Linked DNA regions of Lepisosteus oculatus. The protein of the gene in region 2 purifies or fractionates together with the protein of the main gene of each other region. This does not show direct contact. Links are inferred from orthologs where the notes say so. Each region holds a gene or a part of one and is shown on either strand. Other genes may lie near its edges. The genes, in order: pdcd4b, eif4g1a, mknk1 and hnrnpd.

Region 1 (7,445 bases), on a different chromosome or scaffold from region 2:
CTGTGCAGCACTTCATTCAGTGACTCTTTCAAGCACTTCGGCACTTGAATAAACACTTTATGCAACTCTTAATTTTTAAATTCACTTGACACTACAAGAAAGGGGGTTTTCAATTGCTCTGATCCCTTATAAAATGCACTACCTGGTAACACACTGAAATCCTGTGCTATTGCATTTGTACGTATGAGCTCAACCCCAAACGGGTACACCAGATGAACAGAAGACCCAACCACTACTACAGCCACCTACAGTGAAACAGAGAGCAATGTAGGTCAAATAAACAGGTTCTGGATATTAGCACCTACTTTCACATCAACTGGATATCACTTATTTTATCTGTAAAAGGTAGTCCAAAATCAAATACATTTTCATCTAGGTAATTGCATCAACTGGGCGTCAGCAAAACTAGCTGTTTGAGGATCCTTCTAACTCATACAAACAAAAAGACATTTACGAGTTTACTCTGTACATCACATCTGGGATTCTTCACCTGCTACTTGATAATCTTATCTTTTTAAAAATTAATGCAACATATTTGGAGATAACTACCGAATTAAGCAGGACTTGCAGAAAAACAGACAAGACTGGCAGAAAACTACCTTTCTTCGGCAGTCCCCTGCCCTTCCCAGACCGGGACTTTCTGTCCAGCAGCTTGCTCTTGGGGCTGGTAGGGGTGACCAGCGGGCTGCGGGTGCTCTCCCCGTTATCGCTGAGGGAGTCCCCCCGGCCAGAGTCTCGGGAGGAGTTCTTCCTCAGCCGCCTCTTGGCCTTGGCCTTCACCCGCGCTTCGTGGATGGTAACTGTGGGAGAGGTGATCCAGTTCCCATTCATCTCATTGTCCAGCTTGGTGGTCTCCACCTTCTCGTCTTCACCAGACGGACTGGAGTCACTCAAAGCTTCGGCTGCTGTAGAAGACAATTCACTCATCAGTCCCACTCACATTTTTTTGTCCCCCCACTATGGAAATCTCAAAAGAAACAGGCTGGCTGTTACCACCTGTACAGATCATGGGTCTTGTTTCAATCAAACTGGCCTCTTGACATTCAAACTCCTTCCACAGATTTCTTCCCTGTGCCTAAACCTTCATTTAAACTTAAGTTGATAAGCTTTCCAGCATAATTCTGTTTGGCCAGAAGGAAAACAAAGATTTGCCTTCTGTGAACCACTGTAGCCAGGAGCCAAATCTATTAAAGCAGAAGAAAAAGGGAAGGAGAAGCTTAAAGCATCTTTATTAACTGCACGTCTTTGAATGTATAGAGTACAGGTCTCTCAAGATGTGCTGAAGAAATCCACTTGGACAAGAGCTGCTCTGCTCCTCACTCAGATGGTACTTTCACGCAGGACAAACATTAAAAACACATACAAATCTGATTCTGGCGACAGTCTAGTGAGGCATCCGACATTAAACTTGCCAGCTGGAATGAGGTCAGTACAGGTAATAAAAGGACAAGTCAAGAACATCAAATTCTCAGGTGTAAAATGAAACAATGTTTTCCACTGTTTTTACCATTGCAGTTAAGATCAGACTTAATTCATTAATATTCCACCATATTTGGTCACACTACTTACTAAACCTTTTGCCATTTCTAGCAGTACAAGGCACAAAGCTAGTCCTACTGGGAAAAAAAAGTCCCATTGCCAAAGATATGCATGGTAGTGTACCACTGAATTAAGTTTGATCTTAAACTGCATCTATTTCTTCAACTAAACATAAAAAGACCTTGGCCAAATGAGGAGATTCACGAAGCAGATTTATGGCTCAGATTTGCTTTCTCCCAATTACACTGACGATGATCAGTTTGCGCTACTGCAAACAAGAGAAAGGTGACTTATCTATTGGACACGATTTTAAACAGGATGTGGACAACATTTGTGGAAACTTAAAACAGTATTTGTAAACTAGAATGCCGTACTACAAATGAGCAGCTGGTTAGTGGCGAGAGCAGCACATGAATTTCTCTGCATGCGTTTTCAAGTCCATCACAGTCAGTCAGGAGCTGCTCCTACACAACACTTTGAGATTAAGCAAAATCAAGCTGTATGGAACTACACACTTCAGCAAAGGACACTCCAGAACAACTGAAAAGACCCCCAATAATCTCCGTAATAAGCTCAAATGACTTTGTGTGAACAGGAATTGCATATGTAAGACTGTGATGTCTGCAAAAGGGCTTGCCTCACTTTAATTAAACATGTCAATGCAAGGTGTGGTTCAGAATTAAACCATACAGATAGATGGTAATTAATGCTTACAGAACTTACTTAACCTCCTTATAGTTTTAGGTATAACTACAGATACCTGAATAACTAGAAGTTAGAGATATGACCCTTTTAAAGTAATGAAAAGAAACGCAAGATTGCAATACAACTCTAAGAGCATATACCATTCTTTTCTTTAGAGAAAAGTGCTCTCCGTAAAAACTAACAACTCAATTTCAGAACCTTATCAAATGAATCGTCACTCTGAAAGCAGAATGTACAATTCAATTACCTCATTAAGTGAAGATCTAACAAGCCGTTTAAAATTAATAAAATATACTCGCTGGCACATGCTGAACTCCAGTCTTTCGTCGTTTCTGAGCTACGTATGGAAGTCGCCGCATTTTGTCTTTCCATCAGCTGGATGTTTTATCAAGTCACTCTGGATGCAAGAGCAGATTCCTTAAACACCAGAGCAGCGTTACCCACCTCTTTCCAACTGACTCCCCAACTTCAGCGACAAATAACAGCCTGTACTTCCTTCGTGCATTTTGCGCCACGGTAATATAAAGTAAGAGAAAGTCCATAACTAACACATTAAAATCCAAGAAAAAAAACATGAAATGTTAAAAAACGAGCTGGCTGTAGGGGGAGTGTAGCAAACGAGGCATCTTACCTACGTGGTTAGCGTTAAGCCAAGCTTCGATTTCGGTCGCCATGGTGCACAAAGCGGTCCGCTGCAAAAGCAAAACAAAAGCCGAAGTTATTATCCTTCCGTCAAAAAATGCAAATTTATCACACTTGCAGACACGGCTTTCCCTGCACGTCGTGTACGTGTTTTTCTAAACGAAAATTCTGCAGGAAAGTTGCAAGACATTGAAGTCACACACTTGTCCGTACATGCCCGGAGATCCTCTGTCCCCCTTTCTCTGCGGGAACAGCATTGTGTCACACACGATCTTGATTTCTTATTCCCTGTTTCCTATACCTTTGAGCCACGGCGATACCCCAGAGCATCATTCAAACATTTTGCTGTAAAGATGATGTAAACGGTCCCCACCATTAGTGGGGTACCACTGGCAAGCTACTTGGTTTCTAGAAAATTCTACGAGTTTCGCTCTGCAAATCCAGCAGATAAATTAAACAAGTACCTGATGCAAAACGTAAAATAATGACAAATGTATACATTACCGTGGATAAACACTGCATTAAATGACCCATTACAGTAAATGCTTAGAATAATGCAGACTAACGCATCAATTGCACTACATTAGCATGATGCCATAATTTGAATGCAGCAAAGCAGGTGCAGTTAATTATTCAACAGCACTAAAAGAAGCTGAGCCATGTTTCTGATTTAACGTCCTTGTTTCGTTTACTAATACCTGTAGTCTTGTACTATATACCGAGTATGCCAACTTAGTGTTAACTATGTTTATTATCTACAGTACTTAACCAACAACAATCAGAGCTTCCAAAAACACCTAATTTCTGTTTTCTTAATCTCGTACATTACAAAATTTGAACAAAAGCGATCATACTTTACAACTGGAGTGCAATGTTATGACCGCAAAAGTATCCACTAGTTGTACTAACCTACTGTGTTCACTCAAACCCAGTCCCAGCTGCAACTTCCAAGTCTCGATTGTTTTTGTTTTCTCTGCCCAGCAACAATGTCACATGATCTCCACCCCTGCATTTTATTGGTCAGAGGAAGGGAGGCGGAATACTTCAACAACCTATCGGAACCACTGCATGTTTTTTTAAAAACTCACTTACGAAAATAAATAAAACAAGTCAATTCCACCTTTTTATGTGCTGCCACCTACAGGTTGGCGGTCCTGTACTACCGCTGCGCGTTAATTAAACAAATCGACTGCATTGTGGTGAGGTAGCCCTATACACTTCTTATATAGGGTTACCAGGTTGTAAGTATCCATTGATAATTACTTCTGAAACAAAACTAGACAAAATAATTACAAAATTTGGATCTGATACAACTTAAAGTACTGTTTCAAAAAGCAGGTTTTCACTACAATGACAAATAAAATGAGGTTTTGGAGAATCATCAGAATTCCTGACATTGGAATTCTGGATATGATTGCACTCTTTTCTGGCGCTTTAACACAAATTGTTTCAAAAGCGTGTAAAATACTTCCGTGATAAAAAGTATTTAACACATGTGATTTACGAACGATGCGGTTACGCATATTAGATTAACAAACCTGCTACTGTATATGCGTCCCTTGTCTTCCATACTGTTGATGATGCATTATTTGCAATTCTCAAAGCAATGTGAAGCAGCACGCATGAAAAGGAAGATGGTCCCATACATACAAATTCTTTAAAATGTATTTACTATGTATTTGAATCATTTTCAGTTCATGAAAATTATTTGCGTAGTTATAGGGAGTCATTAGAGCTTACTATTCAACCTCACAAGAATAACTTTCGGTCCTTGGACTACTCTCTTTTAAGCACCCAGAGCGTTCTTTTCATGCGCGGATTTCTTTTTCTCCGCATGGTAACTTTTAAACCGGATAATTTGAGCACAAGAAGACTGGGTACAACAATACAGAACCCGCAGCTAGAGTGCCTTTCACAATAACCAGAAAACAAACCGTGCTTAGTTATAAAAAAAATAGGTTTTAAATAAATTATACCTGATACACAGTATATTGTGGGGAAGTTGATAAAAAAATCCAGCTGTTTCACATTAAGCAATGAATGAAATGTCCAAAGTAATAACACACATTGAGAATGTACAATCATGTTGCTTAAATTCCTGCATGAGTCTGATTACACTGGATTTAAACGAGTGAGAGAGAAAACAATCCCACTAAAAGAAATTACAAATCAGCAATGGACAGATACAAAAAAGACAGATATTATCTCATATGCAGCGCTTGATCACCTTCAGGCCAGCAGCCCAAGCAGCAGGAAGGCAGCCTGCTCATTAGATGTGACTGGAGCCGGACTGCTCTGGCTCAGCAGTGTACAGTACCACTGTCTCTCTGGGCTGCTCCGCGATGGCGTCAGGCCTCCTGAGGAAAAGGGGGATAAGTGGATCCACGGCTCACCTCCGTGTTGGCGGCAGTAAGAGAGTGAGACTTCCCTTGTCTGGGACGCTGGCCAATTGCTCCTCTTTGCAGCAATGAAGCTGCCATTTACAGAGGGGTCAAGTGGAGCACTGTGGTCAAAACTAAGCCTCATCCAGGTGTAAATAACACTCTCCATGCTGTGACAGGCAGCTCAATAACAGCTCCTCACTGTCAATCCAACGTACAGTGCTCTCTTGGTTCACAGATAAAAAGCAATAATACAGTGTTTTGTGTTTAGATAAACTTACAGATACACAGACAGGTATAGACAGAAAAATGAATGGATTCTTTCTTTGGTTTAAGTTTTAATCTCTAGTAAACATGCAGATTATTAATATTAAAACCTTTCTTTCTTCTTCCTTGCGCTGTGGTTTGTAATATATACTTATTTTTGATTCACTGCATGATGGCCTACTTGTTACCATGGTGACATGCATCCAAGTCTTATGTTACCCTAGATAAATTGGGCCTAATTTCAGAGAATTAATCATCGAAATTTTTATGCAATTGCTTTGTGCAAAATTACCCTCCACATGCATTAAACTTACTTTATAACACATTACATTTTTAAATGAGCTTTTGTTGAAATAAAACAGTGAAGTTGCTTTCAAAAATGCTCAAGTAAGCATATATTTTAACAATGTAAACTGCTAAATCAGTACATTCCCTGCATTTTCAGTGGGAAGAACATTGATTTATGGTGGCAAAGCTCCTTTTGATATAAATAAACCTTGTGTGAAACCTAGAAACTGAAAAAGATAAGGTGGTGTTAAGAAACCCTGACAACGACAACAGTTAACAGTAGAGTAGAAGGGAAGGCATTACATTAATAACATTGTCTTTCAAAAAATTGGCTAGCTACCTTTCAATGTCTCATTTACAAGAAAACTTGTAAATATTTGGTGCACAAATGTCCTTGATAAGGATTTTTATTTTCCACTTTTGGATAGCCTGTGAAAATGAAGTAATTCACAAGGCTTTCATCTTCTGCTTTTACAGCTCAGGGTGTGGACACTATTGCTCTTTTCACACAAAACTGTAAGCCAAACTGTTGTTTTTTTTTTCAAGTTTAATGAGAGGTTCACTTTCTTGTTATTTTCACTAACTCACAGGCTACTTAATTGTAATTATTTCATTTTTTATTGAGGGAGAGCAAATAATTGTGATAGCAATGTGAAAAACATGGGAGTTCTAAGCTCAGTGTCTCAAATGAATGCTGAACACCGTGAATAACAAAATCTTGTTTAAAAAAAAAAGACGTGGTAAGATTTTATGCTGCACAGATTGCCTGTCATTGTAGAAGAGGGTGGATATAAAGTTTTACAGGTGACACATGATTGCAAACAGCTCTTCAAAAGGCTCTGACTAGTTGGATGTCAGCAAGCCACTCACCTCATTTGTTCTTTTCTGAGCTCATAAATCTACTGTAGGAACTGCCAGCTGTCTGTGCCCACTGAAGTATGCTGGTCACAGATCTGTCTCTGGTTACACTGCTTTGGAAGGAAAGAAACACTGGGTTCAAAGCAAGGGAAGATGACACAGAGTGTTATCAGAGCTGTGAAAGCATGAGTCTTTTATATCAAATCAAGAAGTCTAAATTCCTTTAAAGTAACTGTCCTTTGGTACTGTAACATATGATAATGTATTTCAGAAGTCACTACCCCCCCTAATCTTAATTACTTAGTTGAACTAATTATTTGGATAAGAACCATTTTTTAGGTCCAATCAAATAGATGATTGAAAAGACCTGCAGTATCCTGACATTGATGCCTTTATTATTATTATTTTTAATTCAGTACTCTGTTCTATTAAAAGCTCTTTTTGTGTGTACTGGAATCTGCATTGGTTACTAAGCTCATCAACAGCCAGCACTGGAACTTGTTAGTACACAGTAATTAGATTGGTTGCTTACAGATCACTCTCTAGCCTTTCCATTCTAGTGTCTTTTAGATTTAAGACAGGGGAAAGGAAATGCAAAAGCACAAGCACAAGAGCCTTGTACTGAAGATTAAAGGAATCAAATCCATTGCAATACCAAACTGGCTAAGGAAGTTGTGTCTTTAAGACAGTCGTTTCCACGTACTACTGTGTGTCAAAAAACATGGCCTTGCCTTGTTCTTTGGTACATTTAATCTTAACTGCAAT
Region 2 (7,244 bases):
CCAGACCCACACCACACCGGTGCTGCTGGCCCATGGGGAGAGAGCCGAGCTGGCCACCGAGGAGTACTTGCCCGTTACGCCCATCCTGGAAGGCTTCGTCATCCTGCGCAAGAACCCCAACTATGACGCCTAGAACTCCCTCACCCCCTATGGGGGCTCTCACTGCCCCTGGACTTGTCTCACTCTCATTCTGTTGTATTCTGCCCCCTGGGCTAGGAGAGCCATCTCCTGAAGAAGGAGACCACAATGCTGCGAGAGGAAAACCAGCACCCACAGATAATGCGTTTTGGCAGATGTTTATCATGTTTTTTTTCCTTTTGTAATAAGCGCATGAAATGCCAGTCTGTTATAACCAGAATTATTTTTTTTGTTTTGTTGGTTTTGTTACAGTACTGTTAAAGGTTATGTAATAAATTTATTTCTGGTCCACTCTCTGGACTGTGAAAGTTTGTTTCGGTGTGTAATTGAAGACCATAATTGAGGGGCTGTAATGTCAACAGAAAAATTATTTAAAAAACCCTACAGAATTTTATGAATGCATTGTGGACTGTCATAAACAAGGTTTGCAGTGCACAGGCAATGTTTTGGACTTGCAATAAAGTGCTATGTATTTTTTAGCATGGGACAATTTGTCAGTAAATCCATGTATTAAATATTCTAATAAAATTTCTTGTTCTCTAATTGCTTTCAAGCAGAGGGTTAAAAACTTTCAGTGTCCATTCAGTTTCGTAAAGTTTCCCAAGTCTAAACTTAATTTGAATACTAATTTGTTTCTGCTGTCATTCTGCATTGAAAACCTGTAGGTGTACTTATATTGATATATGCTGCGCTTAGTGTTCTGAGGATTTTTCTGGTACATATGGTGTTAATTTACTATACTGGTTTTCTGACTTGTGAACATCCAGTTAACCAGGTGATCATTTTAATTATATTTTCCTGCTTCCTCTGTGCTTGTCACAGAAGTTTTTCAGTGGAGCTTTGAGTGAAAGTTAAAATTAGAACATTAATTTTGACTGCTAAATAGACTTATGTTATTTTTTTATATATTTAACATAAGAGAAAATTCCTTGAAGTTTCAGACTGGAATGTGGAAGAATGTAATGCTCTCGCATACAATAGCTGCTGGCATGTCTGTGATGTTGCACATATCTCTGGGTAGAACTGCTGTACAGCCGTGCTGAAGGTCTCAGTTCCTCTGCATCCTCTCCTGTGTACATTAGAGCAGTACTCCTGATCCTGGAGTGCCAGAGCCTTGACAATTTTATAGGTAACCCACACTCCTCAGTAGCTACATTATAACTAAATTGTGATTAGGTCAATGACTCACTTTCCTCACATAATTCTAGATTTTCTTGCTCTATTCCACTCCCCTAGCAACCCTCTCACTGTATCACTGAAAAGGGTGGTGGCACTGGTTTCGTGTGTGCTGACTTAATCCTGCCTTGTCCACTCTCTTCTAACACCTTCGAGTTTCATGCTGTTTATCACACTGGGTGGAGTAATGGTGAGGACTTCAAACTATAAAAGGATGTGGATTCAACACCCAGGTGGGACACAGGTGGGTATTGAGAAAGGTACTTCTCTCAAGTTGGTTTAGTGAAGCGCCCTGTTGTATTCATGGGTAGTTAGTAAATGATAGCTTGTTCTTAACCTGCCAATCAGCTGATGTTTGTGTTACCATTTCCTAGCTGGGGTTTCCTAAATGAGTTGAAAGGCTTCCTCTCATTTATAACTTGTAATCAATTGATGTATGTGTCCCAGTCCTGTTGTTGTTTCTCCTGTCTGTCTGACATGTCAGAATCATGACTCTGGTACCCCTGAGTGGAAAGCAGTGAGGGGGTAGAAGACTCTTAGCCTTTATGCATGATTTGAACCATTGTGTGCCAGTGACTGAGCCTATGTCTCTGTTCTGTGACTGAGGAGACAAACCTGTTGGCCTGCACAGAAGCTGCTGTTGGTAAAGAACATTGTCTGGCCTGCCAGTTTACAAAATCCTCTCTACAACCCCCAACTTTTAACAAATTACACTACACTGACACTTAAGAAACCTAAACACTTAAAGCTCTATCATTTTGCTCATTGCAAATAGTTGGAATAGTGCTGTAACTAAAAACTAAGTTTGTGTGTAACCATGTCTTCTGTTTGCTTTGTGAACCCAAAAGCATATTGGTGCTGTTTTCCGTAGCTTAGCATTAGGGTTAGTGCATTTTTATCTTAGGATCACCAGTCCATCGTACTCACAAACACTAGGACTGCTTAAAGATGCCAGTTAACATAGGCAGCATGTCTCTGGGCTGCGAGAGTAAACAGGATCACCTGGAGTAATCCAACAGGGTAACTAGGAGAAATGCAGACTTCACACGGAATCACCCCAAGCCAGAAGCAAACCCTGGAACCAGGAGCTGCAAGGCAGCAGTGCTAACCATCACACTACTACGACACACTCATTATGTGCTGTTATGGTAGTTTAGCATTCGGAAAATATAGGAGATGAAAATGAATCTTCTGAACCCAAAGATCAGTTGCTCTTTAGTCAGTAATATACTTTCATTTAATAAATTTTGAGGTTAGTTTTTGTTCAATTTAACTAAAAACGCACTGGTAAAAATTGGCTACATTGGTCAGCACAGACAAGATAACAGATGAAAGAAAACGTTTCAGCCGTGGAGCCTTCTTCTGGTGTCAACACCTGAAGAAGGCTCCATGGCTGAAACGTGGTTTCTTTCTTCTTTTTTTCAGCATGGAATAAACCTATCACTTATTCCTTTGCAGCCTACGCATGCTGACGCAGCTACCCACCCAAGATAACAGATGGAAAGAAGGGGATGCTGTGACTAGCAGTAGATAAGTCACCTCCAGCTATTTCTGCTGGCCCAAACACTTTAATCATATGTGTGAAAAGCATAAATTTGATGCTTTTTAAAAAGGCAGTGCATTGTTGTGCTCCACTGTCACCACACTGTCAACTGAAGGTCATTCCACTGTGTTACAAATTGTGAATGTGCTTATCACATTTCAAGGAAAAGCAATTCCTGGTGAGGAAAAGCACATTTTTGTGTTGCTTTTATTAAGAAATATAGAGGATATAGAAAGCCTGCACTCAGGTTTTGCTCTTTTGTGGTGTCAGATGTGACACGTGATCAACCAATGGTTTCAAGTAACCATAAGAACTGGGACACATTCACTTCGGGTAAATCTTGGTGTGAAGTGTAGGGTGTAAAATTCAGTATTGGATTGTATACTCTTCTGAGGCAATAACTGCATGGTGTCCACAAACCTCTGATCTCACCAAACTCGTTTGTTGAAATATTTTAGATACTTTGCTGTAGTAACTCAGAGTCAGTGTTCTGAGTTGCAAAATCAGTGCACAACTGGATTTCAACCTGGATCTTCAACCAAGACCTTGGTTGCGTTGGCTGTATGCTTTGGATCACTGTTGAACTGCATGGTATAGCACTGGCGAGTAAGTATGGCAGTATTTTCTTCTTTAAAATCAGATTAAATGTTTCTGTAAACTTCAGAATACATTCTACTGGTGCATTCATTAGTTGTATAATCAATTCTAGCAGCAGCTCTGCCCACCAGCTACTCTTCTATATTATATGCAGTATAGATGAGTCCTGAGGGTTATGACTCAGGGAAAGATGGAAGGAAAAGGGGATATCATGACTAATAGTGAACAAGCCAGCAGCAGCTATTTCTTCTGGTCACTACACGTTAAACCTCAGTTAACCTTCCTGATTTAAGTACCTTTCTGTGGAGAGACAAAATGAGGTTCCATTGAAAACATTCAGACACAGTCCGTGATTTAAAATAAGTTTCAGTATCAATAGTTACATTGACCCCTCAGACATTGAAGGCTGCCCACTCTGTTGCATTAAGAAAATCTATGTGTTTGCAACAGTTGCTACACAGCCCCACCCACACTTGCAAAAAAGACCCAGCAAGTCTAGATCCTATTATGACCTTTTCTGTGAGGTCACATTCAACATTGAACCTGCCCAAATCTAGCAAGCTTACTTGCACATGGTCAGGTAATGCCACGTATCGTTCTTGAGCAAGTGACAAAAAACAACTTTGTTTATTCTCTAAAAAGCATTTTTCTTATTGGAACGATTGGCAGTCTCAGGTCACATGACGAGGGTGAAGAATTCCTGCCGCCCTAGTCACATGACAAGAGTGTGAGGATTCCCATTGTAATTAACCCGGAAGTCTCTCACGGTTTCCGTGAGGCTCCGTCCGGCTTTGCGGACTCAAGGAGAGAAAGGTAATGATATGGCTCTTCACTTCACTCTTTGCTAAATCTGTATCGTGTGGACACATTGCCGTCAATCCGTGTGCATCTGCGCTTTAAACATGGAGCTCCGGCACAGAAGCTCTCATTCGGGACACATGCTCACCCAATAAGATATATTTAAAGCAGTATTGATTTATTTGATTTCTCCTTTTTTTGTTTTTCTCGTATGCTTCCAGGGGATTTAAAACACACTTCTCGCCTAGATCAGCAGCCCCCCTTTCCCCCAAAAAAAGGTTAGGACACCCTCTTTCCCTTGGAACTGGAGCCGAAGAAGCGATTTATAGGTTTGGGGGAAAAAGTGAATAGAAACGGACGAAGTACGGAGACAGAAAAGATCTTTTCTCTGTGAGCCCTTGTTCTGTCCCCTCTCTGCATGTCCTTTATTCACTTTAGGTAAGCAGTCTCTGGGTTTTATTTTCTTCTTTTTTTCCTGGGAATAGCTGTTTAAATAGTGGTTTCATTCCGGCAGTAAAAACGTTAAGTGTCTGTTTGGGGGGCTCGGTTGTTTTATATATTTCGGACTTGTTTTGCTGCTGACGGGTGGGTGAATCGAGTTGCCTTCTGTGTGCATTTTGGACAGAACTGGCATTTCTGGACCGTGTTTTCGCGTAAGCTGTTTGTCGGGAGTTGGCAAACCCGATCTCTTTAAAATTGACTTCTGCAGAAACGTTTTCACAACCGGATTGGCCGTTATGTAGACGCATTTTTTCCCAGTATCCCGGAGACAGTGTAGTTAAAATGTAGCTGGAAGAGCCCGTATTACTTTTTCGCTTGTGAAGCAAGAATATCATTGGGTTGCAGTGCCACAATACTGGAGCCCGACTCGGGGTAGGCCCCAAGCTTTTTAATTATTTATAATGAAAATAAATGGAAATGTCGGGATTTATACTCCGTAAAGCTTGGGGTTTATAATGATGCCTCGCCGGCCTGTGTCACGGAATCTCTTCTTGGTGATTATTTGTTAGATTCAAATCGCTGCGTGTTTTTAAACAAGATCACTGTCTTCTTGGACTGCGTGCATTCACGCAGATGGGGTTGCTACGCTAGGCCCCCTCGATGGGAGCCCAGGCCCTTCATAGTTCGGTGAAGCTCGGCTGCTTCTTGTAAAATATGGTGGGAAGGGGAGGCAAACCACTGAAGCAGAGGGATTGAGATATAATCTTTGAGTAGTTTGGAGTCGGACCTTATTGTTAAGTTTTGCGCCGGGAGTGAAAAGTCGATTTGCCCCTGTTGAGCGCTGATTGGGAGGACCGACCTACCATATGCTCGGCTGAGAGAGACAGCGTGACTTTAGAGAACCGGCTTCCTCCTACTGCTTGGACACGTACTTTAAACGGGTAGATGAGTCAGTGTTTTCGAATTTTTTTAAGGGATCGGTGTTTTTTTTAAAGGGTGGGTATAAGTTTTAAAAATGCTGCGTTCTCTCTATCGGCCAGTGGGGAAACTGCCTTTCTTGACTCTTAAAAGGCATTGCTTGTCACTTGAGGTCGAGACATTTTTTGTCCTCTTCTAAAAATAAAATGCTGTGGGAGGATAAGCGAGTTTAATTGGGTTTGTTGTGTTTACTGTTTACAGTTAATGTTCAGGACGCTAAATTGGACTTCAAACTCATAAATAGGTACATCTGGTTGGAAGTTCGAGGCCTTCACAGCTCCTCCAGTCTCCTCGCTTCTGGCGATTTTTTAAAATGTGTCTGTACGTTTTTCAGAAGTCGAAATTAAGTTTTGCCGGTTTCCATGTTATACTAGGTAAAAACGTGTTTTATTTATTTCGTAGACGATTTTTTCCAAAGGGTGGCCTTGATCGCAATGTGCATTGACATTTCTGATGGTGGGAACTTATTTTTTTCATTGTTTAATGTACTTTAGGGCTTGGTTGAACCGGTTTTTTCGTTCGGTTGACGTTACAGGGTGCACGACCGGGGGTCTGCGTTATCGTGCGTACGCTGCACTGTTTACAGTCGTTTTGAATGACACTCGGTTTGAGAAAAACGGGAACGTGTTAGGACGATACATCTGCTCGGGTATGTGTGTTTATCCTTATTATTAATTGTAGTAGTATTAGGGGGCGAAAAGACGGACACGGCTGAGTTGTCATTAAAGTTGTGGCGCTTTGCTTTCCCCTTCTCTGTGAAATAGTGACACGTACCGCGTATGGAGAGACTTATATACGTCTTTCTAAATGGCATTACGATATCGATACGGCTCACAACCACCCTTATCCCCCGAGTTCGAGCCTTGTTTGTTTTTGTGGAGTTGGTTTCGAGAGTGAGACGGGGGAGTTATTTTCTGAAGCGGGCCCTTTTTTCTGAAAGTCGAGTTTTCCATCATGGCTGGCAGAGATGGGGGGGATGACACGTTGAGTGTGCCGAGAGGGAGGCCGGGCACTGCGGGGACCAATCCGGAACTTTTAGACCTCTCATTTTAGGATTTGGACACGATTGCTTAACGGACTCACCTTTACTGACCCTGTTGTTGGACAAAACCGTTTAGGCCTCTGTTATTTTGCAATCGTTTTGCAATCCAAGAGGTAGGTTAGTTGTTTCATTACCGTAAATTCACCGAATTAAGCGAAGCTAAATCGCATTTGGCGTATGAAGAGAAGTTTATCAAGGCTGCGGATCCTTACACAGTTTGGGTAGCAGATATAGACATTTCCCGGGGTGTATTTTTGGGGAGTGAAAACGACACGTTGTAACACTGCCGTCCTGGTGAGAGAGAGAGCGGCGTTCAAGGCCTACATAGTAAGGTCGTGAAAAACTCGCGTATTTCAACTTAGTTCGGCATGTGATAGTGATATAAATGGGAAACGGGCCACTTCGACATGTACGGTGTCCCACCCGACTAGGGTGGGAGCCAGGAGGCGTTATTTGATGTGGTTATACGGTCGGTTTATTTCATGTGTGAAGCCTGAGCGGCTCTGAATGACACGGGGTGTGCGTGCGCGC
Region 3 (7,146 bases), on a different chromosome or scaffold from region 2:
AACGTATTAGCTTTACATGTGACGTGAGACCAACAGTTTTTTTCCAGTGCAAAACTGTGTAGGGCAGTGTAGTTTGACACTGAGATGTGGACACTCACAGACATCATCACTGGGCCACCTTATACATGGAACCTAAATCAGGAGTTTTCATTCAGGAGATCAGAGACTCCAGAGGTCTTCAGAGTCCATTCCCAGGACAGTGGGTCCCAGGATACAAAGAGGAACCTTTCTCCTGTGTCAAAGGTGGAGGAATGTCAAATCTGCTCTGGCAGAGTTCAAGGTGAATTTGTTGAACCACAATTCCATAGTAGAACCACAGCAGAATTATTCTTAAATTCTTACAAAACTGGGGGTCCTGACAGAGAGAGATTTTGTGCTGTCTACCTTGGACCTGCAGAAAAACAAAAAACGTACATTTCTTTTCTTCTTTCTTAGTGACGGGGTTCAATTGACTGGTCAGGTTATCAAATTAAACCTAAACCAGAAACTAAAGTAAAATAAGTATATCTAAGTGTAGGTACTGTGCAGGACTTGTTTGAAAAATAATACATTACTGAAGAGGTACAATCTGCACCCCGGTTTTGCATTTGAATATCATTTCATTCCTCTCAGTGACAAAGAGAGCTTCAACAATTAACAGCAATAAAAGCTTTTTGTAAATAGTGTTCTGATTTTTATATGACTTTTTACCTGTATTTTCAGATGATGCATTTTACATGATGATCTTTTCAGTAAAACTGATTTATTGTACAGACCGAAATTGTGTTTTGTTTTATTGTTGATTTGACCCTCCTCACTTTTACTCTCTTATATTGACTGCTCACTGAATACCTCTGAATTGAACAGGGTTAACATTCTGGTGCTGTTTTACTGTCCCAATTACAGAAGTGACAAATGTACACTCTTATCTTTTTAATGTGGTGGGTGCAGAAGGCTTTCTAGATGGCTGCCCTCTAGTGGTTCAATCTGAATGCTTTTCTTAAGGTCTGCTTTGAACCATGTGTAGATTAAGTTGTTTTCTTATACCCTCCTCGACTCGCTGTGCCACATTTTATCTCATGTGTTCAAGTGTGAAAGCCTAAGAACTCCTTTCTCTGGCCCACTGCGAAAGCTCTATTGACGTATTGCTTGTCAAAGTCTCATTTCATAACTTCACCCAAAATCTTTCTGAATATAACTGCATGTAAGACAGGGGTGTCCACTTCTGGCCCTGGTGGGCGGGTGTCATTCCAACTAAACCTCTGGACAAGCTAAACCTGCTAGTTACTGACTTAACTGGACCGATCGATCAGCTTCTCTTAGCTCTTTAGCTGATAAAGCTTTAAAGAGACCTGGAAAACTTGCAAACATACTGATATCAGACAATCCTATCTCCTTGAAAGATGATAAATCCGTGCAGCGTAGACACACCAACAAGATCGAAAATGCAGTTAAGATAAAAAGTCCGTTGGTCCCGCTAATGGCGTTGTATAGGAAATCTTAGACAAATCGCCTAATTTCTTTTCCATGTTTTTGTTGGTTACAATAGGACTGAAAATAGTGTTTTCAGGGAAAAAAACTACACCTGTCAGCCATCTTTATTCTGCTCCATGAGGAAGTTTTCTGTTTTCTCTTTCAAGGCACATTTGTTACGAAGCTGTCAGGAGCAGAAGGCAGCAGGCTGCCTGGTTCAGGCGGTGAGCAGTTTCCTCACAGCACTGATCTCTGAGGCAGGCACCTCGCACTGCTGCCTCCTGATGCCCCATTAGCATGTCAGCTGCACAGCCACATTGCTGTAACGCGTCAGCGCCAGGCCCTGTGAAAAGACTCCCCATGCTCCTTCCCTCTGTCTCTCCCATATACAGGACATGCCACAGACACGCATATTCCAGCTCCACCGCCACTGCTGGGGAAATAGTGGTTAATTTAGTGTATTACTATAAGCACCACTATGGTACAAATATTCTGATATTAAGGAACAACTCCTTAACTCCTACATATGTGGTTCTATGAAAATTGGGAATTTATTGTTTTTTTTATTATTCTGAATGTTCTTTATGATATACTGCTGCTTAGAATTCCATTTCATCTTCTTTAGATTTTGCCAAAATGTGTGGCATTCTCATATCTTTTGCTGTGTAGAGAACTAGACGGAGGAACTCTCTTGAAAAGCACTTTATTCTGTTTCACAGGTGAAATGCATCACAAATAAAAATCTGGACATGAAACTTGTTTTGTTTTTTCTGAGAAGAACAAGTACAATTTGCCAAGCATATTTACTATTGGCAGTCTGAACCCAGGCCTCTATCAGGTGGTTATGAGCTTAATATTGTTCATATACAGTTTGATATAACTTCCCAATCTAATATCTCATCAGAAATATAGAGCATTGACAATTCCTCTCCCACTGCACTGCTCTTGATCAGCACTAATACTGGAAACGAATTCCCCAGAGGTGCCTATAACACGGTTCAGTTTTTCACATTCTTTAACTTGGATGCATTGCCTTTCTGAAGAATTTAACAGCTGTCTAAATTTAACTTAATGTACTTAAAGTGCCCTTCAGCGTCTTTGGAAAATCACGCTGTTGGTAGCTCGAAATACACCACACCCCTGTGAACTGTTGTACTCTAGCTGAAACCTCAGCCAAGCAAAACAGTTCACATTCTTTCTCAGGGTGATTTGGAGCTCCTGTCTTTCCAAGACAAGAATAATCGGGCCGCAAGCCAGCAAGCAACGTAGCTGATGCAAGTCCAGTCTCCAGATGGATGTGACGTATTCCTACAGAAATGTCTGGAAGTTTTGAACTGAAAAGTGTCTGGGTTTCTTCTGCCCTGGAGCTAATGGAAAAAAAAACCTACTTTATAGCTTTAAAAGTTGTTTTATTAGATTTAGTTCTATTGCCACATCTCTCCTATCATCAATTCCTTACCTACTTCATTACTGAACTTGAAAAACAAGTCAGGTCTTTATTTTTTTTTATTTCAGTTCAGGCTAGGCTGTGCTGATAAATGTGTTTAAACAGAAAGACAAAAAAGCAGTTTGTTAGATTAATGGCTAGATTCTTGCTAAGATGTCTCTTAGTTGGTTGCCAGGAAATATACTGGGAAGATGAGCACAGTACCATAACAGGCAGAGGAGTCCATGCAAAAAGATTAGTGTCTTTGATGAACAATTAATTAGAACATTAGTTAAAATGTCAAAAGGCATTAATAGATTTTGAAACAATGTCTTGAATTATATTAAATGTTGGTAGAAAGTTTGTCAGGATATTTATCCTGCCTCAGATGAGTTAGGACTGAGACAACAGGAAAAACAGAAAGTCCTTCTCGGCACATGTCATTGTGTGGGGCTTCCTGTCTTATTCCTGGAGGGCCAGAGTGCCCGCAGGTTCTCATTTCAGCTCAGCTCTTAACGAGCTCAATCAGCTCGTTACTGGCTAAATGAGGCCAATTGAACAGCTTGAACAGGTGCTAACCTGCAGAACCTCACGGGGAGCCCAGAACCAGCGCATTTTGCATATAAGCATTAAACCACCAGTTTCTAAAGATCTGAAACAACTAAACTGGCATCAGCTCAGACAGGTGACTTCTTAAATTAGCTTATTTAAAGATCATCTGGAATAAAATGCTGTGACCCTTCATCCTCAATAGCCATAACATTTACGTGCTTCTAATCTTTATAAGCAGGTAGTGCAGGCACCTGTAAGACTACGTGGATCCTGGGATTGGAGTCTCCTTGTCCCTCTATGTACACTATATAGATGACATACCATACATTGTGGACTTGGTCTTGCTTTTTTACCATGCCTCACACTGTGGCTCTAAAACACCACCCCAAAAGAAATCAAAGACAAATTCACGAGAGCTTTAAAGTCTAGTTTAAATTCACGACTTTTTATAGTATAATTTGGTTTTGTTTTGCGTAATGTACACCCATGTGTAGTAAAGCACTGGGGGGGGCGATTGTTTTTAAAGGCTCTGTATAACACAAAGGTGACAAGTTTCGTTTGCATTACGGAGACCTTACCAAGATGGCGGACAGTGACGCCCATTGTACGATCTGCGCATGCGGAGACAGAGCCCCCGCCGCGGCCGACAGCAGGCGATCTGGAGCAGCTGGACAGCACCGAGGGGTTTGATGTTGTGGTTTGGAAGATGGCGGAGGGTTTGAAGGCGGAGTTAAGCTGCTACGGGCGCAGTTTTCAGGTTTGTGTCTGTTTACGTTGGGCAGGTGCATTTATGTACACCTAAACTCTGATTTCCAGCGTGACTAAGTTTAAAAAACACCGAGGTTATTCAGTGGGCACCGACCGGTTTACCCTGGTGACTATGTGCTCCGTCTTTGGGGTTAACTTCAGTGCTGGACACGTAGTAGTACAGTAAATTCTTACTTATTGTGAGTTTCATCGGTATAGTACGCTTAACACTCTCCTTCTTGATAAAAATGTACTAGACTTGATAAAAATCTGCAGTTTCTTGCGAAACGTTGTTCTGTTGTTGTGTAACCAATTTAGTTATTGCGAAATATTGTAGTTGCCGGCTCGTTAGAGAATACTATATGACGACTTAATGTCTCTGAGACATGATGTATTTATATCAACTAGACTAGGGATATAGTAGCCTGCAAACGTTTGTGAACTAAATGAGGTCGCAACTAGACTAAAATCTGTGACTAACTTTAAATTATTAATATTTCAGTGGTTACATATTGTAGTGTATTTCTTAAGTCGTATATTTCAGATGAGACCGTTTGGTGGACAGTTTGCTTATCCGTGTTCATTGCCCTCTCTAGTTTCTGTTAAGGGCTGTTCTCTTACCGTTACAATGATCACACACAGCCATGAGATATAGATTCTAATTTAATTAAAACACAGGAATTCTGCTGGTCAGGACAGGGCGGTTTCATCTAAGCAGGATCTGGAAATTTACTTTGACCCTTGTCAGCCTGTGTTTGCATGTTCCGGAGGTATGCTTGCCAAGCGCTGTTGTCATGTTGGTCTGGAAAGGGCTTAGTATATTTCCCAGTGCATTTGTGGTTCAATGTGGATGATCTTCAGTGGCGGAGGCAGAAATTGCACTGGGCGGGAAGAGTGCAACCCTAAGCCTTCTCCTGCTGGTTGCAACATGCACACGGCAAGAGATCGACAGACCAGAGCTTGCTCCCTTTCTGACTTCCTGCGTGGAGAGGGTTTCTGCGTGTGTTGAGGATGTGCTTTGTCATTTCTAGCTGGCGGAGATGGTGCGACACAGCAAGATTGCTGAGCTGCAGGCCTTTCAGCACACTCTGCAGGTAAACTCCCAGATCCGTGTTCATCTTGTTCCCGAGTTGCCCCTTGCCTGCCTGCCTCTCATGTGGTTTTATGGTCAACAGAGCACCCTCTCCCAGCAAACACACAGCTTACTAGAGCTGTCGGGAACTCAGGAAGGGCTTCACAGTGTCTAAGACAGTGTCGCCTAGGTCAGACCGCAGAATAGACCACTGTGATGTAGGCTACTTTTTTTTTAACAAGAAGAGCAGCCTAACTTTTTTTGTCATCACCAGGCAAACCTCAAACCCACATGTTCCTGTGCACTAAAAAAAGAATGCCGTTTCTGAGAAACCTGGCATTCTCTGTTACAAGGGCAAAAAGTACGTGAATGAAACTACATGTGCAGTTAGTGTTGAGGGGTGTCTCCTCAGTTGAAGTTTAAGACCTTTATTTCTTCGTGGGGGAAAAATGGTAGGGAAACCTTTTTAAAAATATCTTATCAATGATTGCACATTTTTTCTAATTCTTCCTGTTATGCAGTTTAGAATGGATGCTATGTTTTTTAGAGTGTGGTCAGTTGTGGGGTGGATTAAATTCGAAGAGTCAGGAACTTTAGTGTAAATCTGTTGGGGAAAAAAAGATGTCTGTTTTAACACTTTCATTTCCTTTTCAGTCAGTGTAGCATTATGAGATCTGTGCTCGGTCAGTATTTCATTTGTTATCACCAGGAAGAGGAATAAACCCCGTTTAAAGCAGAAGTGAAAATGCTACTGGGTGTTCCCCTCGTGTGCTTCCAGTTCAGGCGTCTCTTATTCCTCCTGTAGATGTTTCGCTTTCCGCCGTTTCATACCTCTGGAAAGATCCCTAAATTTAACCCCTTTAAAGCAGAAACGCCTATGCCTGATCGCGTGCCGAACATGCAAAAACGAGGAAACTGAATCCGTGTGCTTGCACGCAGTCGTGTTGAAGGGCGATGGTGTTTTTTTTTTTCCCCCTCCTCCAGTTGCAGAACAGCTCCCTGGCCTCTGTCCCAGCTGGGGGGGGCTGTGCGGGACTTGCCGGCCTCCCCCAGAGCTCCGCCGCCACCACCTCCGAGGAGCTGGCACCTGACACGGGCGCCACAGCCGGTAAGAGCCCACCTCCGAGGCGGGCAGTGCCTCACTGCCGCGCATCTCCTGCCTGCCTGCCTGCCTGCTGGGATTCTGTAAATTAGCAAGCGCAGAGCTCACTCGAGAGTGGTACTCCCCCCGCCACTTTGAAATGAGTAGCGGCGTACTTGAGGGATTTAAAATAGGCTGCTTTGTTTAATACAGGAATAATTCTTAATTAATGAGTGGCTTTTTTTTTAAGCAATGGGAAGGACAGACTTCTCATCGGCTGTAAGCTGGGAGCCTGTCAGGATACTGGACGGGATAGTACAGCTTTTGCATGAGGAAGGGTCTCGTTCATGGGGCCGGATGTCATTTGGTGGCATGTTTTTAAATATCATGTTGTTTTAAGGCTTGCGTTGCTTCATGCTTTGCCAATAGGTTCTATAAAGACTTTATTGGCACCACACTACAGTATGTAGCAACATCCTTGCGCATCTACACTGGCGTTTCTCAAGAAATCGGCGGTCTGATCTATAGATATTCCCTTGAAGCTACTATTAGTCATAACAAGGAGGAAGTGACACATTAATAAGAAGTTACCTTTGTTGATTTCGATTTTGGTACTGCTTTTCTTTTGGTTTACGCGAGATAAATAGTTAAACGGTGCTCTTTTTGAACTCTGTTCTTATCCCTAATCGAAGCACGATCAGTTGTCTTGATTCGGGTTAAAATGGACTGGCGCAGCAGTGTAGACAAAACCCTTCAGGTCAGGTGAGGATCAGATGTAACGCATGAAGGCATGAAAAGGCCTCAAGAGCAGCAGCT
Region 4 (7,764 bases), on a different chromosome or scaffold from region 2:
CCTTTAACTACAAAGATTAAATACCCCACTGTGAATTTTTCTAAATACATCTGTCCAGTTATTCCATTTGTTCTTTTGAAATAAGCACCCATTAAAAGCAAATATTAGAAAAAAACATTTCTTGATTAGTTCTATTTTTTTTTCAAACCATAAAAATAGCTATGGTTTTCCTAGGCATACAAATTATTTGCTGATCAAATCAGGAATGTAAAATGTAGGATCATGGACCAAAAAGACATTTCTTTCATTTAGCGTATCGGTAAATTATACACAGTATAATATGCTTAAAGAAAGATATCCTCAAGAAAAAAAAAACATTTGCACAGGACTGAAATCAGCATTATATGCCCATTAAAAAATAATCTGTACTTTTATATAACCGTGTTGGAAAATCTCTACACATCTTCGAAATGGAAAGTGCTTTTAGAACAGCAGTTCTTTGTGAGTAACTGGTAGTAAAATTGTAAGTAAGTAGTAGCTGTAACCACTATAAGCTAGTACCTTCACAATGCAGAAATGTTTGAGAGAGCCTGTGCATTTACTATGAAGGCAATTCTAGCAAATTGGCAGCATGCTAACCTCAGAAACAGAAATACCTTATCAACGCTGTCAGCATCTTTAAATAATACAAAGCCGAATCCTCTGGACCGTCCAGTCATGGGATCCAGTTTTAGTGTGCAGTCTACTACTTCTCCAAACTTGGAAAAATAATCTTTCAGGTCCTTCTTCGTTGTATCCCAGCTCAACCCTCCAACAAACATTTTTCTGTTAAAGAATTAAAAGTACATTAAAAACAATCTTTTTAAGGATGAAAAACATAGGAACAGGTTTACATGCAACCACATGTGCACATACCATATATGGATGTATTGTTTAACAGTGTCTTGGGTGCCATACCAGACAATGTGTTAACATGGTATAAGCATCACATCATGCTCTTATGCTGATGCAGACACACATTATAATACAATTGGAACAAGTAATAGGTTTATTCCATGCTGAAAAAAAGAAGAAAGAGAACACAACGTTTCGGCCGTGGAGCCTTCTTCAGGTGTTCACCTGAAGAAGGCTCCACGGCCGAAACGTTGTGTTCTCTTTCTTCTTTTTTTCAGCATGGAATAAACCTATTACTTGTTCCTTTGCAGCCTACGCATGCTGACGCAGCTACCCACCTGAACTTATAATACAATTGTTTGCCTAAGTGAATTTTGTCTTCGAACAGCAAAGTGGTGCAGTAGTAAACATTGCAGCCTAGCAGTGCTCGGTCCCTGGGTTCAATTCCCAGAGTACTATCTGCGTGGAGCTTGTATGTTCTGCTCCGGTTTCCTCCCACAGTCCAAAGGCATACTGGTGGGTTAACTGGCTTCTGGAAAATTGGCCCTGGTGTGAGTGTGCGCAGTGTGATAGACTTGTGATAGACTGGCGTCCCATCCAGGGCGTACCCTGCCTTGCACCCGTGCTACTTGCCAGGATAGACTCCGGCTCCCCTGCGACCCCGAGTCAGATAGAGGGGTTAGAACATGGAGGGTGACGACGCTCTGAATGGGATTCCAGACCACTGCAGGGCGCAAAGACACTCTAAATGTAAATACTACAACTCGTATAGTCAGTATGTCTTTCTTAACTGGAAGGAAACTGGACCACATGTCAAAATTTACCTGAGCAACAGCAATAATGTGAAAACTCCTCCCATATAACACCCCTGCCCAGAACTGAACCCAGGACCTATGGCACAGCATGCCACTCGCCTTGATAACACTTCCTAAATGTTGTGCTTAAAACCAGATATCTTAACAGTTTACACACCGTGAAACTACCTAGAATACTGATTTGCATTCCTGAGCACTTAAATACCTATCTAGACAGTGCGATATGTATCAATGTAGCAGGTAATCAAAGTAAATCTACAATTTACAACTGAAAATGAAATTGGGGTGAGGTAGTAACACTTTTATCCGAGTTAAGTAATCACTGCGTCTGCACCGTAAACGTTTTAGTCAACTGAAAAACACAAGAAAAACATTCTAAGTATACCTATACCGTGACTCTATATAGGGTGCAAATCCTCAGCAAGCATCACTCACGAAACCGGTTGAGTCTCATGAGGACAAACCGGTTTCGCTTCAGATAGCTGACACTTGGGTGTGACCCAGTTGAACCACCGCGCGGTTATTCAGGTTGCTGACGTTACTATACCCACTCTGTACGATACTTAAAAAGCCATGAACTGTATAGCAACTTCCAGAAATACTTTCCACACCAGGTAGAAGTGTGTATCAGTCATAACACTTCACTGCCAGTGTTCTCAAGTGCGTTTTAATACCGTTTAAACGCCCTTAGATTTAATAATGGTCTATAAACTATATGGCACCAGTTGATCCCACTCTGTTATAATGTCGTGATTATAATGGACTGCGATAAATTATGCGGTACAGCTTCACGTTTTGGAGTACTGTTGCAAAAAGAAAAACTAATTTTCCGCAGTTTACTCCAACTGGAGTACCAGACATCGCCAGCTACAGCGAGACATTTTATATTTAAAAACAAAGGTTTCAGCGTCACTCGAGATTGCTGTTGTACATTACGGATTACGCTGCACAACACAGATTAATGCAGCACACGTTACGGGACCCATTTGTCGATGACCTGTCTCTGTGGTAGCATCGTCAGTGACAGTACTGCCCGCAGCCCCTTGTTCGCCCTGGAGACTACAGAGTCCGTGTCGGGTCTCCGTCCGTCTCTCACCCTTCATCCTCCTCGTTTTTGCTGGCGTCGATCTTCGATCCCTCGGACTCTGAAGCCCCGCTCTCTCCGGTCGCCATCTGCTGCTCCTCTCCGCCCGCCTCCCCGTCTTCCTCCATCTTCACCACCGGGTCCTCTCCGACTTGGTGCTCCTCCGACATTTTTTTATTGCACAAGAAATAACTACCCTTGGTATATTTTCTCAACCGGTTTGCCTTTTACTCCAGAATGAAATGCAAACGCGTGCTGTTTGGAAGACGCACTAATCAAGTGAAAGAGGTCTTACGCTGGCAACAAGGGCCAGTTGTTTTTCTACTGTTTTTAACAGTTATTTCAATACACGCAGTGCTCTTTGAATCTTAATGGCGCCGCTTACAAAATGGTCGCAGGAAGGAAGCACTCGTCGACGTTCGGCATGGGGCCAATCGGACAAGTATGACACAATCGCAGGCAGCCCTCTTCAGGGGAAGCGCTGTACTGCGCCGTTCATCACAGTCGCTCGGGTCTCAAGTTTTTCTACCGCTTGAAATGCAGGTCACATTAAATAAACTCATAACACTCAACTAGCGCTCCCGATTAATAGAATATGTGTCTTCTTATGATGAGAAATTAAAACGAAAAGCTCGACTTTTCAAGCTAAAGTGAGATTTTTCCGGAAAAGTACTTGATTATCCAGATTAATAGAGTGAAGCCGAAACAAACCGACCATTTTTAGACCGCGTAGCATTGAATGTGCCCCGCTTCTCAAAAGGTAGAGCTGTATGTCCTGGATACAGCTATTTGACCTAATTCAATTTCAATGAAACCTGCCTCCTGATTCCGCGGGCCGTTATTATGAGCCAAGGGAACAAACCGGACCTTAGCATGTTTACCTTTATATAGGCCGCAGTCTTCGTAAAACCCGCAACCGTTTGTTTCAGATTGCTGTACTTAAAGTTTTATTTAGTGTACAGTAAGTCCCTATACTGGCCTTTTGCCCCGATATAAACCATCGGTGAGCCATCTACTATTTAAAATGTTCTAAATGAGAAGTATCAAGTTCAAAAACATCAGAGAGAATTAAAGTTTACAATTTACGTTGAGTAAATTACATTAAAAGCCAACTGAAAAATTGAAAACGTCTCAACTTGACGGCAATATATTCAGAGGAATTTCAAAGATGTTTTAAAAAATCATTTGCATTTATAAATAATTCCACAATCAAAAACTTGGTGTAAACGAATACTTATCACAAAAATCAATAAAAGCTCAAAACATTAAGTGAAACACTGTTTTGAGATTAAGTATTTGAATGGCTACTGAACAGTGCATTTAGTTCCCAAAATAATCACACCAGGATCATTTTTGTATCCATACTCTTTAATTCCCTTCATGGCTGCAAAAAACACAAAATAAAAAAGCATAAAAATGTAAAGACCGCTTTACAAAACAAACAAAAATATATTTCATTACAACACCAACATGGCAAGGAATGAATGAGCCAACTCCAGCAACAAAACTTGAAAGCTTCTATTTACAAACAGACACCTGCTGGTGCCAACTTTGCCTCTAATTTAGAAAACAAGGTCATCTTAAAATAAAAACAGTTGTTCTTGATTTAAAAGGACTAGAATCTCTCAGTTGCCACCAGGGTAACAAGCAGAAAACTCATCTGGGCTCCTCACCTGAAAGAGAAGAGACAGCGCACATTAATTCCATGTGTCCATGCACTTTAAAACCGAAAATTAGAACACGGCCAGGTTTCACTGATTAACCTCTTGTGCTGCCAACTTTAAGCTATGAAGTTCTCTCGTGTTAAGGATCATATGTATCACACTCAGCTTGGCAGAAGTGATACAGCCAGCAAAAGCTTAGGTGTAGCTCCATTTCTAAAGCAGATGCACTTACCACTGAAGAGCAATTCATAACCACCCCCCCCGCCCCCCACTACTTTTGAACCCTCTTTCAGGCAGTTACAAATTGAGGTTAATAGTGCACACAGTTGACCTCTACAGAATGGCTTTTGCTGGCTTCAGTAAGCTTCTTTACATATGATCCCGAACACCTACATTTTTAAAAAAAGTCGTTATTTTATCATTTGAAGGTTTCTCTACTGGCTATAAAGAAAAAGCAAGCATTAAAAGTTTAAGCAATTTAAAGTTTATTTTAGAAAACAAAAATCACTGAAGGTCCAGAACTGAAATACAAGAACGACACTAAAATAAAAACAGAATACAATTAAACAGTTAAGTCATTTAAGATTAAACACAAATCCTGCAAAAAACCATTTACACAAAAGTTAAGCCGTTGTCAAATAAAAAGGCAAAGTCTGAAGTTTCCATTTTTTTATTTATTTTTTTATCTTTACGCTGGTACAGGAAGTTGGAAGAGACCATACCACAGGACAGCGTTTTCTTGTGCATGCCGTGCTCTCTGCCCGCTATGTGCGACGCCCAGAGAATGACGTGGTCAGGGTGACACACGGCCTGCAATGAAGTTCCCGCTGGCAGGTACAAACAAGGTACAACATCAGAGTTAGGAAGAAGGAAAGTAAAGATAGGCCCTTAATTTGTACCCTTTAGCAGTACTTTACCTGTTAATATTGCTAATAAGTCTCTTTATGTTACTTCCACATGATCACCTGTTACAAAAATCAAAGGAGAAAAGGGAGGAAACCTACAGAAAAACCCTTACGTTTTTCTGGAGAACTAAAAAAAAACTGCCAGAGAAAGCATGGCATATTAAAGATCTATAGACAGTTGTTAAAGAAAAAAATGAAACATTCGGGATGATGTTCATGGCAATATTTACCATTTTAAAGTTTGAAGGAGGTTTTTTTTTTTTTGAGTTGTCTATTGATCTTTAAAATTATTAGAAGTCAGCCAAGGGGTTAGGATTCAATTTACCTAAATTCCTTGAGCAGGTTTTCCTTTAGTTTTTCTTTTCAGTATGGCTGGTAGTTATTCTGGTGATTTCCGCCTCCTCTTGAAGCCTTCCCGTAACTGCTTTGCTGACCTAATTAAAAATAAAAGTTGTCATTTACTTCAATAAACATTAGTGCATCATACAGAAATTGTACACTTTTTGCACCCTATCCTTGGGGAATTCAAGTAGTGGCATGGACAAGTACCATATAAAAAGGTACAAAAGATCTCTGAATAAATGTCTATACAAAGTAATTTTTTGTACAAGTCTCCACACTGAATATACCTACTTTAACTGCTTCCACCAGTATTTCTTCATACATACTTTAAAATAATCACAGAATGATTTGAACACTTGTGTAACATGTATTCCCATATTAAAATTAACAATTTTCAATATAAGCTTAATTTTAAGATTAAAGCATGAATGACAAGGAAACAATCCAAATCCATAACCAAATAATGGTAAAAATTACAAATCCGGAAGCAAATCAATTTATTGGGAGTTATTAATGGGGATTATGCTTTAAAAAGATTCAAATGGTAAATTTGCCAACAAGGGCCCAAGTAACAGTAAGTTATTTTAAACTTCAAATTCCCCCCAAAAAATCGATTTGCTGTACTGAAAACTTCATAGTGACCATCTGCTATCATATAGACCTAAGAAATTTGTCTGCGTAAACAAAGCAAATAAAAATCCAAGGCAACATTACTGATCTTCATTATTGTACATACTAGGCCGGTTATGTGCTTTTGATATAAAAATACACAGTAATTTTATAACTTAAACACTCGGGTGATTTGTAATGAATAGTTCTGCTTACCATTGTAGTCGTCATATCCCTGTCCATATCCATAGTTATTATAGCCGTACCCAGAATAATCATAGCCGCTGTAGTCATTGTATCCTTGATTGTACCCATTGCCGTAGCTTCCATAATTCTGACCATAGTAGCTATTATAGCCTTGGTTATAGTTTTGACTTTGACCTGTGATGGACAAATGAATACATGTTCAAAGTGAGCAATTTGTCAAGCACAGAACTGCCAGATAATTCTTGAGAAATCAATTCAGATGTAATGATACAGAAAGGAACAGAACTCCAGAACGCCACGTTCTAAGAACAATTAGACGGGATTACACTAATTCTGTAAAAGCAAAAGATGTATTTAAGCTTTTAGCATGATAAACAATGTAGTTGCACTTTAAAATGTTCACTGAATACTGCCGACAGTGAAGTTTCCAATCCAGATTAACCTTCATGCTGCAATAACCAAGATTTAGCAAATCATTTGGCTCTTGATTTTGTACATGTACTTCGTATTCCACTTGTGACATTGTGCTAAGTATTGTGAAACCTGCAACCTTTTTAAATATGGATGTGTGGATTGTAAAATGAGCACCTGGAATTTAGGGACAGCAGAAAAAGAATGATAGAGTTTAATGAGTAAAAGTGGAACACACCTCCCCGGCCTCTTCCTCTGGAACCTCCTCTTCCAAAGCTGCCCCTGTCTCCTCTCTGCTGCTGCCTGTACACTTCTTTGGGTTGGGCAACCTTTATCTCGCACTGTGTACACAAACACCAGAACTGCGTGAACAAACTGTCAACAAGCCAGACAAACTTCTACGTGCACTCAAAGTTCTGACTTGAGTACAGTTCTCATGAAGCATGTTCATACAGTCCACACAGGACAAGACATCAGTTAGTCCACAGTTACCAAGTACAATAATATTAAGAGTTCTCGTATTACAGCTTCATGTGCAGATGGAATTAACATTTCCCTTTCTATTCCCTTAGCTACAGAGACAAAGCTGCCTAGGCCAATCAGTCATTTGAGAATAAAACCAGTTACAATGAAGCGTGTTCGAGTAGTTTTTTTATCCAGATCAAATCCAAGTACCTTTCCTGATCCAACTTGATGATATCTGTTCTCCAGAAGCTTCTGAACAGGGTCTTCATCTACGTATGTTACAAAGCAGAACCCCCTCCTCTCATTTGTTTTGGTGTCCATGGGGAGCTCAATGCTGTCAATCTACAAACAGAACAAAAGACACCTCGTTTATCATTTGGAGCACCAATTCAAAAACCAGACAACACAGGTGTACACAATTTACGGCT

Evidence for each region.
Region 1: the proteins of eif4g1a (region 2) and pdcd4b purify together in Homo sapiens (affinity purification with western blotting; 3 studies listed by BioGRID and IntAct, with this or other methods). This does not show direct contact. The link is inferred for Lepisosteus oculatus from reciprocal best matches to the Homo sapiens genes EIF4G1 and PDCD4.
Region 3: the proteins of eif4g1a (region 2) and mknk1 purify together in Homo sapiens (affinity purification with western blotting; 3 studies listed by BioGRID and IntAct, with this or other methods). This does not show direct contact. The link is inferred for Lepisosteus oculatus from reciprocal best matches to the Homo sapiens genes EIF4G1 and MKNK1.
Region 4: the proteins of eif4g1a (region 2) and hnrnpd purify together in Homo sapiens (affinity purification with western blotting; 5 studies listed by BioGRID and IntAct, with this or other methods). This does not show direct contact. The link is inferred for Lepisosteus oculatus from reciprocal best matches to the Homo sapiens genes EIF4G1 and HNRNPD.

Annotation. Positions count from the first base shown.
Region 1 is NC_090699.1:39,632,372-39,639,816, forward strand, and holds the start of pdcd4b (programmed cell death protein 4b), read right to left. Parts: upstream 3,159-7,445; 5' UTR 3,144-3,158; coding exon 3,090-3,143; intron 2,937-3,089; coding exon 2,876-2,936; intron 906-2,875; coding exon 600-905; intron 1-599. UniProt on the Homo sapiens protein: Inhibits translation initiation and cap-dependent translation. May excert its function by hindering the interaction between EIF4A1 and EIF4G. Inhibits the helicase activity of EIF4A. Modulates the activation of JUN kinase.
Region 2 is NC_090708.1:18,070,272-18,077,515, forward strand, and holds the start of eif4g1a (eukaryotic translation initiation factor 4 gamma 1a), read left to right. Parts: upstream 1-4,062; 5' UTR 4,063-4,267; intron 4,268-4,273; exon of another isoform or gene 4,274-4,690; intron 4,691-6,806; exon of another isoform or gene 6,807-6,826; intron 6,827-7,244. Other genes in the region: psmd2 (26S proteasome non-ATPase regulatory subunit 2), read left to right, coding at 1-133.
Region 3 is NC_090704.1:3,495,556-3,502,701, reverse strand, and holds the start of mknk1 (MAP kinase-interacting serine/threonine-protein kinase 1), read left to right. Parts: upstream 1-4,078; 5' UTR 4,079-4,136; coding exon 4,137-4,187; intron 4,188-5,208; coding exon 5,209-5,271; intron 5,272-6,233; coding exon 6,234-6,357; intron 6,358-7,146. UniProt on the Homo sapiens protein: May play a role in the response to environmental stress and cytokines. Appears to regulate translation by phosphorylating EIF4E, thus increasing the affinity of this protein for the 7-methylguanosine-containing mRNA cap.
Region 4 is NC_090698.1:27,393,583-27,401,346, forward strand, and holds the start of hnrnpd (heterogeneous nuclear ribonucleoprotein D0), read right to left. Parts: upstream 3,141-7,764; 5' UTR 2,904-3,140; coding exon 2,746-2,903; intron 766-2,745; coding exon 597-765; intron 1-596. Other genes in the region: hnrnpdl (heterogeneous nuclear ribonucleoprotein D-like), read right to left, coding at 5,666-5,736, 6,470-6,634, 7,110-7,212, 7,547-7,678. UniProt on the Homo sapiens protein: Binds with high affinity to RNA molecules that contain AU-rich elements (AREs) found within the 3'-UTR of many proto-oncogenes and cytokine mRNAs.